Coturnix japonica: one gene and its partner. The protein of the gene in region 1 purifies or fractionates together with the protein of each later gene. This does not show direct contact. Links are inferred from orthologs where the notes say so. Each region holds a gene or a part of one and is shown on either strand. Other genes may lie near its edges.

The links.
Region 2: the proteins of ADRB2 (region 1) and USP33 purify together in Homo sapiens (affinity purification with western blotting; 3 studies listed by BioGRID and IntAct, with this or other methods). This does not show direct contact. The link is inferred for Coturnix japonica from reciprocal best matches to the Homo sapiens genes ADRB2 and USP33.

The regions. Positions count from the first base shown.
Region 1 is NC_029528.1:10,593,491-10,598,877, forward strand, and holds the start of ADRB2 (beta-2 adrenergic receptor), read right to left. Parts: upstream 3,787-5,387; 5' UTR 3,565-3,786; coding exon 2,391-3,564; intron 1-2,390. UniProt on the Homo sapiens protein: Beta-adrenergic receptors mediate the catecholamine-induced activation of adenylate cyclase through the action of G proteins. The beta-2-adrenergic receptor binds epinephrine with an approximately 30-fold greater affinity than it does norepinephrine.
Region 2 is NC_029523.1:16,746,415-16,750,347, reverse strand, and holds the end of USP33 (ubiquitin carboxyl-terminal hydrolase 33), read right to left. Parts: intron 2,083-3,933; coding exon 1,925-2,082; 3' UTR 1,010-1,924; downstream 1-1,009. UniProt on the Homo sapiens protein: Deubiquitinating enzyme involved in various processes such as centrosome duplication, cellular migration and beta-2 adrenergic receptor/ADRB2 recycling.

The DNA.
Region 1 (5,387 bases):
CACCTAAGCATTGAGCTGCAGAGGTCATCAGACAGACAGACATCCCCTGTCCCTTCCACATCTCTGTGCTCTGCACACTGCAGCAGTCCTGCAGTCACCCATTGCTCATCTGCTCCTGCTGCATACAGCACCAACATCTGAAGTACGAGTGCAGCCAGCCAAGCAAGAAGAGCAATTATTTGGACAATAAAACCCTCATCCACAACACGTGCTATTGAAATGCAAATAATAACAAAAATGAATACAGCGACTGAGATGCGGATGCTGGATTTCTCCACCAGGAGCTATCACCATGGGATACCCCCTCACCTTGCTCTCCTGCTAACACCAGCCTACGCAGGATTAATGGCACAGAAGAAATCAATCGCTTCAACCAAGAGGCTAATTTTCACTTCTTGCTTTGTAATAATCATGACCTATACTGAGCTGAAATGCATCTCCAACATGGTGCATCTCTAACCTACATGGGGCACCGACACCAGCCCCGCAGCGCAGGGCCCCCTGCCTTTCAGCCCTTTACAGTAGGAAACTGAGAGCACCTGACCCCACACCAGGTCTCTCCAGCCTGGTCAGCCTGTTAATGTTTATCTGAGGAGCAAATGTTTTTCCAACCTGGCCTCCTGCTCCCCACAGCCACACACCACCCTGCGCCATCACACCCCTCTCGTTTGTTCACACTGTAATGTAAAAGCTGAACCTGATGACTTCGGGAGTGCTCGGACACTGCTGACAGCTCCAAGGAAGGTGCAGGTGGGCACGGGCAGCAAAGCTGGCAGTGACACAGAGCTCTGCTGCACACATTCCCTGCCACTCTGTAGCATGCACCAAGCTGGAGAGGCTGCAAGCAGAGCAGAGCCAGCATCCAACATAGGGTTAGGAAAGGGCTAAGGGGCTGCCTGACCTCCCAAACCGGATTGGGATACCTGGGGGAAGGCAGAAGGGAGCACGAGGATTTCTAAACCCTTCCCCACAAAACCGGGTGGGGCTTTACCATGAGGAACGCCAAGGGCTCAAGAATGAGTTTGCAGCCACCCTGCACCTTGCAGCACCTTATGAGCCGATCCCATCCAGCGTTCCCTGGGCGCACCCTCGGGGGCTGCAGGAACAGTGGGCAGAACAGCCCAGGTCTTTGCGAGCCTCCTATTAACGGTGCCAACCCTGGGGAGAAGAGCTCCCACGGGGCGCGGGGCCGTCCCTCCCCCATCTTTCCCACGTGCTTCTATAGACACCGCACTTTCACATCCTCCTCGGCTCCCCTCTTTCAAACTGCAGCTGAGGAAGAAAGCGAAGGGGGGGAGCTCCATTTCAGCCCCGCGATCGCTGCTTTCTTCCAGCGGGGTCTCCGAGCAGCGCCGAGCAGCACAGCCACCCTGTCCGTCCGTCCGTCCGTCCGTCCGTCCCCACCTGCCCGCTCGCGTCTGCCACCGTGACAGCCCATGCGCCCGCCGCCAAGTGCTGCGGGAACGCAATGCAAAGCCCGCTGCAAGGGGAAAAAACCCTTCACAAACAAACCGACAGACCAACCCAGAGCCGTCCCGCGGCCAGGGCTGCGCTGCCGGACTGTCAGCCCTCAGCGACAGAAAATAAAACCTTCCCTGCCCACCTCTACGGGCTGAGAGCCGAATTTAAACTGGGCGGCTACAAGAGCTTTGGCTGCGGTCTCGATAAAAGGACGGGCTGCGACTGCAGCAGCGTATCGCCCAGCTTCCCATTATCACGTTCCTGAGTCCCACACCCACTGTATCACATTCTGGGCAAAGACTCCGTTTATTTCTATCCTTATTTCAGCGGACAGTCCTATAGCACTTGGCAAAAGACGCATTCGTGGTTGTCGTGGGTTTGTTTTTTTTTTGTTTTGTTTTGTTCTGTTTTTCCGGGCGTTGTTTAAACTTTCCCACTGACAGCAACAGGATCAGACGCAGCCGACAGAGCTCTAAGCATCCCTAAAGGGGGGGATATGGGGGCAGGTGCTGCACAGCTCGGGGAGCACAGCGCTCCCGCAGCAGCCGCCAGCACCGAGCTCATGAGGTAGTTCAACATCGGCCACAGCCAGGAAGTTCTTCCTGGGACGAGCTTTCTGCACAGCCTTAAAATACCATCCCCCAGCACTCCTCACCCCCCCGGCTCAAGGGACCTAAGGTCGTGCACTTAAATTCATAACCTCTGCAAGCAGCCAGCCCACCCAAGCCACCCAGGGCAGCCTTCCACCTGTTTGCAGGAGGTTTGCTGAGTTTTAGGTTCCTTGCAGCCATTGAGGTTTAGGTGTGCTTTAGGTGAGGATCGTTATTATTACTGGGTTTTTGTTTTTCCTTAGAGGAAGGCTCATCGTTAGGAGCAGTGTGCCACGCCAGAGCCCATCGCATCTCAGAGCTACCCACTAGGCACAGTACCTTTGCAGTGCAAAAAGTCCTCAGGGTGAGGGAAGGAGCCCTCTTCGCAGAGCAGCTCGCAGGCTTTCTCTGGTGCCAGGGGGTAGCCGTTCTCCTCCTCGTTGTAGTCACTCCTGCCGTTGCTGTTTGAGTAGCCATTAGCGTACATCTTCAGAGCAGACCTGCGGAGGCACAGGAGCTCCTGGAAGGCGTACCTGAAGTCTGGGCTCCGGCAGTAGATCAGGGGATTGAAGGCAGAGTTGACATAGCCCAGCCAGTTCAAGAGAATGTACACGTACTTGGGGATGATGTCGTCCTGGATGACGTGCACGATGTTGACGATGAAGAAGGGCAGCCAGCACAGCGTGAAGGTGCCCATGATGATGCCCAAGGTCTTCAAAGCTTTGTGCTCCTTCAGGAAGAACTTGGAGGAACGGCGGTGCCCGGTTTTCCCGTTCTGGTCCTGTTCCTTGTTCTGGATGTGAAACCTGCCCTCACTCCGGTCTATCTTCTGCAGTTGCTTCTTGGCCACCTGGAAGACCCTGGCGTACACAAATACCATGACCACAAGCGGTAGGTAGAAAGAGATGATGGAGGAGGCAATGGCATAGGCTTGGTTGGTGAAGAAGTCACAGCACGTGTCCTTCTCATAGCAGAGGATGGCCTCATCACGGTCTGCCCGGTACCAGTGCATCTGGATGGGCAGGAAGGAGGTGAGGGCCGAGATGGCCCACACCATCAGGATGACCACACGTGCCTTGCTCTTGGTCAGCAGGCTCTGGTACTTGAATGGGGAGGTGATGGCAAAGTATCGATCCACAGCGATGACACACAGGGTCTCGATGCTGGCGGTGACACAAAGCACATCCAGAGAGGTCCAGAACTCACACCAAAAGTTCCCAAACTTCCACATCTCCATGATGATGTGGCAGGCACCGAAGGGCACCACACCCAGTCCCATCACCAGGTCTGCACACGCCAGCGAGGTGATGAAGTAGTTGGTGACCGTCTGCAGGCGCTGGAAGCGGGCGATGGCGGTGATCACCAGCACGTTGCCGAAGACGATGACCAGCACGATGAGCGACATGAGGATCCCCATGCCCACCACCCACACGTCCCGCGACACCGTGGGGTCTGCTGCGCTCTGGTTGGCACTGACGTTGCCGCCGGGCAGCTCGGTGCCCTCCACCCCCATGTCCCCCCAGCCGGATCCCCGGGCAGGCTGCGGGGGCTGCTCTCAGCGTTCCGATGTCGTGGCGTTTCGCCGGGCTCCGCGCATAGGGAACAGCAGGTGCGGGCTGTGAGCGGTGGCTCCCGCCGTGCGGGGCTGTACGAGCTGCGCTCCGCTCCAGATCGCCCCGCTCCTCACCCGACCCAACTCGTCCCGCAGCGTCTCACCCGCCCGACTGTCCCCAGCCCGTTCGGCGCCGCCGAGCTTATAGCAACACCCGCCGTGACATCAGCCCGACACGGCCAATGGCAGCCGGCGCCGCGCCTTGCGCGCACCTCGCACCCCCCCGTGTGCCCCCCGGCCCGGCAGCCGCCCCACGCGTGTTCCAGCTCCACGCTACAGCCTGAGAACGGAGGCGTCCGTCTCCCTCCCCACGCTGCGGTCCCGCTGCCCCCCGACACCCCGACACGGGGTTATGTGACTTCTGCGCTGCTCCCTGCCACCAAAGCGAACAAATATCCTAAATAAGGGCTGAGGGATCCTACAAACTTCAGTGTCACGAGAGATAACGTTCTGGCTGGAACGCCATGTCTGCGCATTGCTGTGCACGGAAGGGTCCCATCTCCTCGTGCTGCCGTCCCGCAGGTGGCACCGTATGTGAGCGGGGGCTGCCCGCAGCCTCTCAGCCAGCGCTATCAATACAGGAGCCGCCTGCACGCAGGGGGAGCTTTGTGGTTTAACACCGAGGGGTGAGCGAGGTGCTGGAATCAGGAAACACGATGAAGTTGCAGTTGCAGCAGCTCGTGCTTCTGGCTCAGGGGCTGTAACGGGTGGCTTTGGAATGCTTGTGAAGCAGCCAAGAGTGCAGGGGAGCACTAATGACCTTAGTTAATTACCAGGACTTTTCAGTGCCCACCATTGAGTTAAAGGGATCCACGCAATCCATGCAACGTATGGCTGCAGCCAGCTGGTGGAAGGCTGTAACATCACACTGGCTTTGCACCAGGTGAGGATCTGTTCCATCCTTGAATACAGGCTTAACACCTGCAGGCTCCTGTGCACTGAGGTTCCTGCACGGTGCATGCACCTCATGGGGAGAACACAGCAGAAAACTGCTAGGAAAATGCAGGTGGATCAGATGTAATGTTGGGGGAGAAGAGCAGGAGGGAAAAGTGATGAGTGTGGGAACTACATGTTGTGCTCAGCTCACTGTCCAATGCTCTATTTGAAGACCTGGTCAGAAAACTCTGCCAAATGATCAAGGTAAGTCTATGGTAGTAACTGGCAAGTTTGCTTCCTGTAAGGCTAACATCAGGAAATGCTCTGACACTAAATCACAACTTTCAGGAAGTATCAGGTTCCTTGTTCCAATAGACATTTCATGCTTATCCTTGCAAGAAGTGCTGTCTTGAAAGGAGGAGAGGCAGCTTTGGGAGCTTAGGAGAAAACACACTGAGTCTGGGAGGGTCGGAGCTCAGATTTGTGTCTCATAGCACATGCAGAACACACTTGAGCTGTCTGTTCATCCTGCACATCCTGGTAATGGCCCTCCATCCTTCTCCAGAGCCTCCATCACCACCATGGTGTGGGATGCAGAACTCAGCAAACCCAGCTTCTATCTCAGTATTTTGGCATTTTTAATGTTATATTCACAGCAGTTTGTGCCTTGCGTGCTTAGCGGGCCATGGTGGAAGGCAGCAGGGCTGAACTTTCTTCCTCAGTTTGGCAGCTCTCTGCTTGCTTTGGCCATCTGCTCACCTGCACGGGGTGTGCAGGGCTGCGCCCTCAGTCCAGGCTGCCTTCAGCCACGACCCAAACTGTGCAGCAATGAACAGCAACTTCAACAT
Region 2 (3,933 bases), on another chromosome or scaffold:
AAATATTTCTATCTAAACCCAAGTCACCATTACTGAAACTGAGGCAGATACTCCTACTCATCTAATAGAACTGTTTTCTTCCTTGAATCTCCCTCCAGCATTCTTTTAAGCAAGAGAACCTATTTTTCAGTACTGAGTCTTGCAGCTCTTCTTTGAGATCATCTTTACCCAGAGCTTGCATTTATTATCAAGTAAAATCCAAAACTGGGAGCTGTACATATGAAACCTCACAATCAAGCACAACACCGAGTAGAGCAAAATAATGACCTCCTGTGCCTTGTATCTGATGCTTTTCTTCCTTTGCAGATTTTACTGGGGCAGTCTTACTACTTATCCAGACATTTCATGGGCTGGCCAACTGATATCTGTGATAAAGTTTAATGAAGTTTAAAACTGGGAATGTTTTACTTACATACTAGAGATATAATCATTGGCTTTGTACTGCTGTTCATCTACCCCTCTCATTCACCCTACTGTGTTCTGGCTTTAGCTCTACTTCTCAGGTAGGCTGAGGAAAACACTGGGATTTACAGATGGGATTTCAGACAGAACTTATTATACAACACATCAGCAACATGGTCAAGTACTTTAGGTTACAGAACACTAGGACTCTTATAGGCGGCTTTCTAACCACAATGGCTCTAAGTACTTTCTGAAGTACAACACAAGTTTCATTTTATACTAGATGTAAAACCAGCCAGAAGAGCGTTACATCAGTATTTCTCACTCAAGCCATGCAACTGACCACGTCATTGCCTCAATGTAAAGTAGCCAGGAAATATATGGGTCTGGGGACAACATCACAGCATTACTCCAAGGTTTTCACAGTGATGTAATAAATGGAAAAAATTTGAGAAGGCTCCCAACCCCTCCCCACATTAAGGTTGGTTGCCCTCATCCAGCCCCTTTTCTCTCTTTTGTTTTTTCAAAACAAACAACCAAACAAGTAGCCTTGAGTACCGCTGCTTATTTGGTAACTATCAGGCAAAGAAAAGACTAAGTGCCATTCTGCGTTCCGATCTGATTCATTTAGTGAAATTTGCAATATATACATTTTATCCAGCTTTTCACATTATAGGTCATCATGCTAATGAACAATACAATAAAATTCTTCAAAAGCAACTATCTGTGAATATAATTCAAGAGACCAGACAATTTAACTTCCAAAATTTATATCACTCATGTCCATAGTCATTTTACATTTCACATTTCATGCTCTCAAACATTACCCTAGAGAAGACTACATCTTTTTTCTCACAAATATTATTAACGCTAGCAGGTTTATAGAGTTACAGAAGCCTAATGATGCAAAATTGAGCAGGTAATAACTTATGACATTCGCTGACTAAAACAATATTCAATCTACGTTAATGTTTGATCCATTCAAATATGTTAAGTATTTGGATGTCACTCATTTTATATATACTTACAGTGCAAAATAAGTGAGAATTTTTTTCCTGAGCATTTAAGACATAAAAATCCTTTTTCTTTATCATTGATTGCAATCCATTTAGAATATACTCTCCTTATACCTAACATTGTCAAGACTTTACAATTAAGAAGGCAGACATTTGTGGGTATCAGAAGCCCAATCAGGAAGGTTACATACATCTCTAGAACTTTGCTCCCATTTTTCAAGTCTAAGGATATAACAGGATTTTGACTTACACTGAAAAGTCCAGAAATGACAGTGTTTTCCACTCACCAAACACTCCAAGAAGAATAAACTACACACTTTCCAAAACAGAGAAACAGTCTTCATTTAAACAAATTGCAATGTATATTTCAACTTACACTTCTGTAGTTAATGTAATGCCCAGTGAGATGTGCCTCCAATAGACAAGAGAATAAAACTTTTAGGAATGTATTTTGGGCATTTTGTAAGGAAGCTGGATTCCTTACAAATTCATCCCTTCCTCAGTAGCTACAGACAATGAGTTTCTAACTCAATCTTCTCTTCTGTTTGCAAGATATCAGGTTCTACTGTAGGAACAGGTGGCCTGTGTATAATCTCTGGGCCTCCACCATAGATTGACTGAAGAAAATTCCACGTTTCTTCAGATATCTGTCCAGAATCTGCACCTGCAAACATTTTAAAAGTTTTAATTTCTATTTAAAACAGTTATTTCCACAACTCTTTGAAGCTTGTAACAGATACAAAAAGAAAGAAGAATGTATTTCAAATTTAACAATAATCTAATTTGCACTTTTTCCTATGCCAGCTACCAAACCCAAGGACTTCTCAGTATTTACATATTTCTTCATTCTTACAACCTACCTGCTCTCAAAACTATCCAGTACTTAACATACCCCAGATATAAGACACGTGAAGCATTTTATCTGAAATGCACCCATCAAGCTAATAACAGATAGATCTCAGAGTTGTGACGCCGCTTCCTGGTATGGAGGGATTCACATTAACAAAAATTCCCATTCATTACTGTGTAAACTGCAAGTATTCAAGGTTTGTGTGTCAAATAAATAATAGTGATCATAAAGAATAAAAGCACATGGCAGTGTAATGAGTCAGCCTGGCTTCTATTTGTTTATTTATTAAAGTCTCTGTCTATGATCTCTTTCTTCTGGCTAAAGGTTTCTCTGCCATCCCAGGTCAGCATCCAACAGTCTTGCCTGATTCACCAAAACATTTAGAAGAGCAAGGGCAGATCAGCATCTCACCCCTCTATGTTCTACCAGAGTGATCCTGTCTGACAAAATTGTAGCGTATCTTCACGTTAACCTACATAACAGAGGACAAACTTCTATTCTACCTGAATAAACATCTTTCCTTTAAGCAACGCTTTAGAAAGTTGCACTATGGCAAGTTTCTCCCAATATCCTTTCGTTACATACTATTAATGTTTCAATAAGCCTAATTTCTACTTAAAAAAAGAAAGGAACAGCAAGGCTTCTCTCCCTTGTCTCCTATAATTTCTCTCCTTGCCACCTGCTCTAGCAGGCCTCCTGCTGTGACAAACATCTAATAAACTTCCAAAAATAAAAGGTGCAAAGACCTTATGTTTGTTTATCCACACCAACTCAGCCATGCGAAGCTTCATATGGATGCAGATCCTGTGCCAGAACTAATGGAGTTATGTTTGAGTTTTACATTTTTCATGTACTCAGAAAACAAGTCGGCCTCCACAGGCACAGGGGTAGATCAATCTCACTCCCTTATAAAGATTCCAGCAGCCAGGTGTAATTGAACAGACACAGTGAATGCCAACTCATTAGAACTGGGATCAGGACCACAGAATACTATTTAGTAGCACTCCTCTGTTTTCATTCACAAATTGGAATTTTTCCACAGCCTATTCCTCTTAATCTCTACCCCAATTCTACCTAATCTGAACCAAAATAGCTTTAGTTCAGAGTCAATAACTGCCTATTTTACTATGAATTCTAATCTGATTTTATGTTGCTACTGAACATCAGTCAGACGTCTGAAGATTCATGTTTAATTTCTGTGTTAATAGCTTATACCACTAAGACGTACTACAAAAACTCATGGGTGCAAAAATTCATTCTGTTTTCAGTATGCCCTTTACATTTCACAATTGGCAACACGCGTGTTGAACCTACTGACCTCCAGCGATTGTCACCTGTAGGTCCTTTCTATATGCTGAAGCATTATGTTAAATTGACTTTGACTTTTACTTGGTAGCTGTATTTTTTCCACAATTTTAACACTGCAATAGTTGAGCAGTTTAAATATTGATGTATAATATATTGATATTATGCATCCATAGGAAGTCTGAAATCTTTCTTATAAAGATGACGATGTTAGACATTTTCCTCTGTGCCCACAATTTTTCAAGTAGATGGTTGGTTTTAAACATTTGACTGAAGAATAATAAAGAAAACATATATTTGTATGCTAGAGAACATTTGTAACATGCAGTGGTAGCTCTCAAAAATAAATAAATAAAAAAG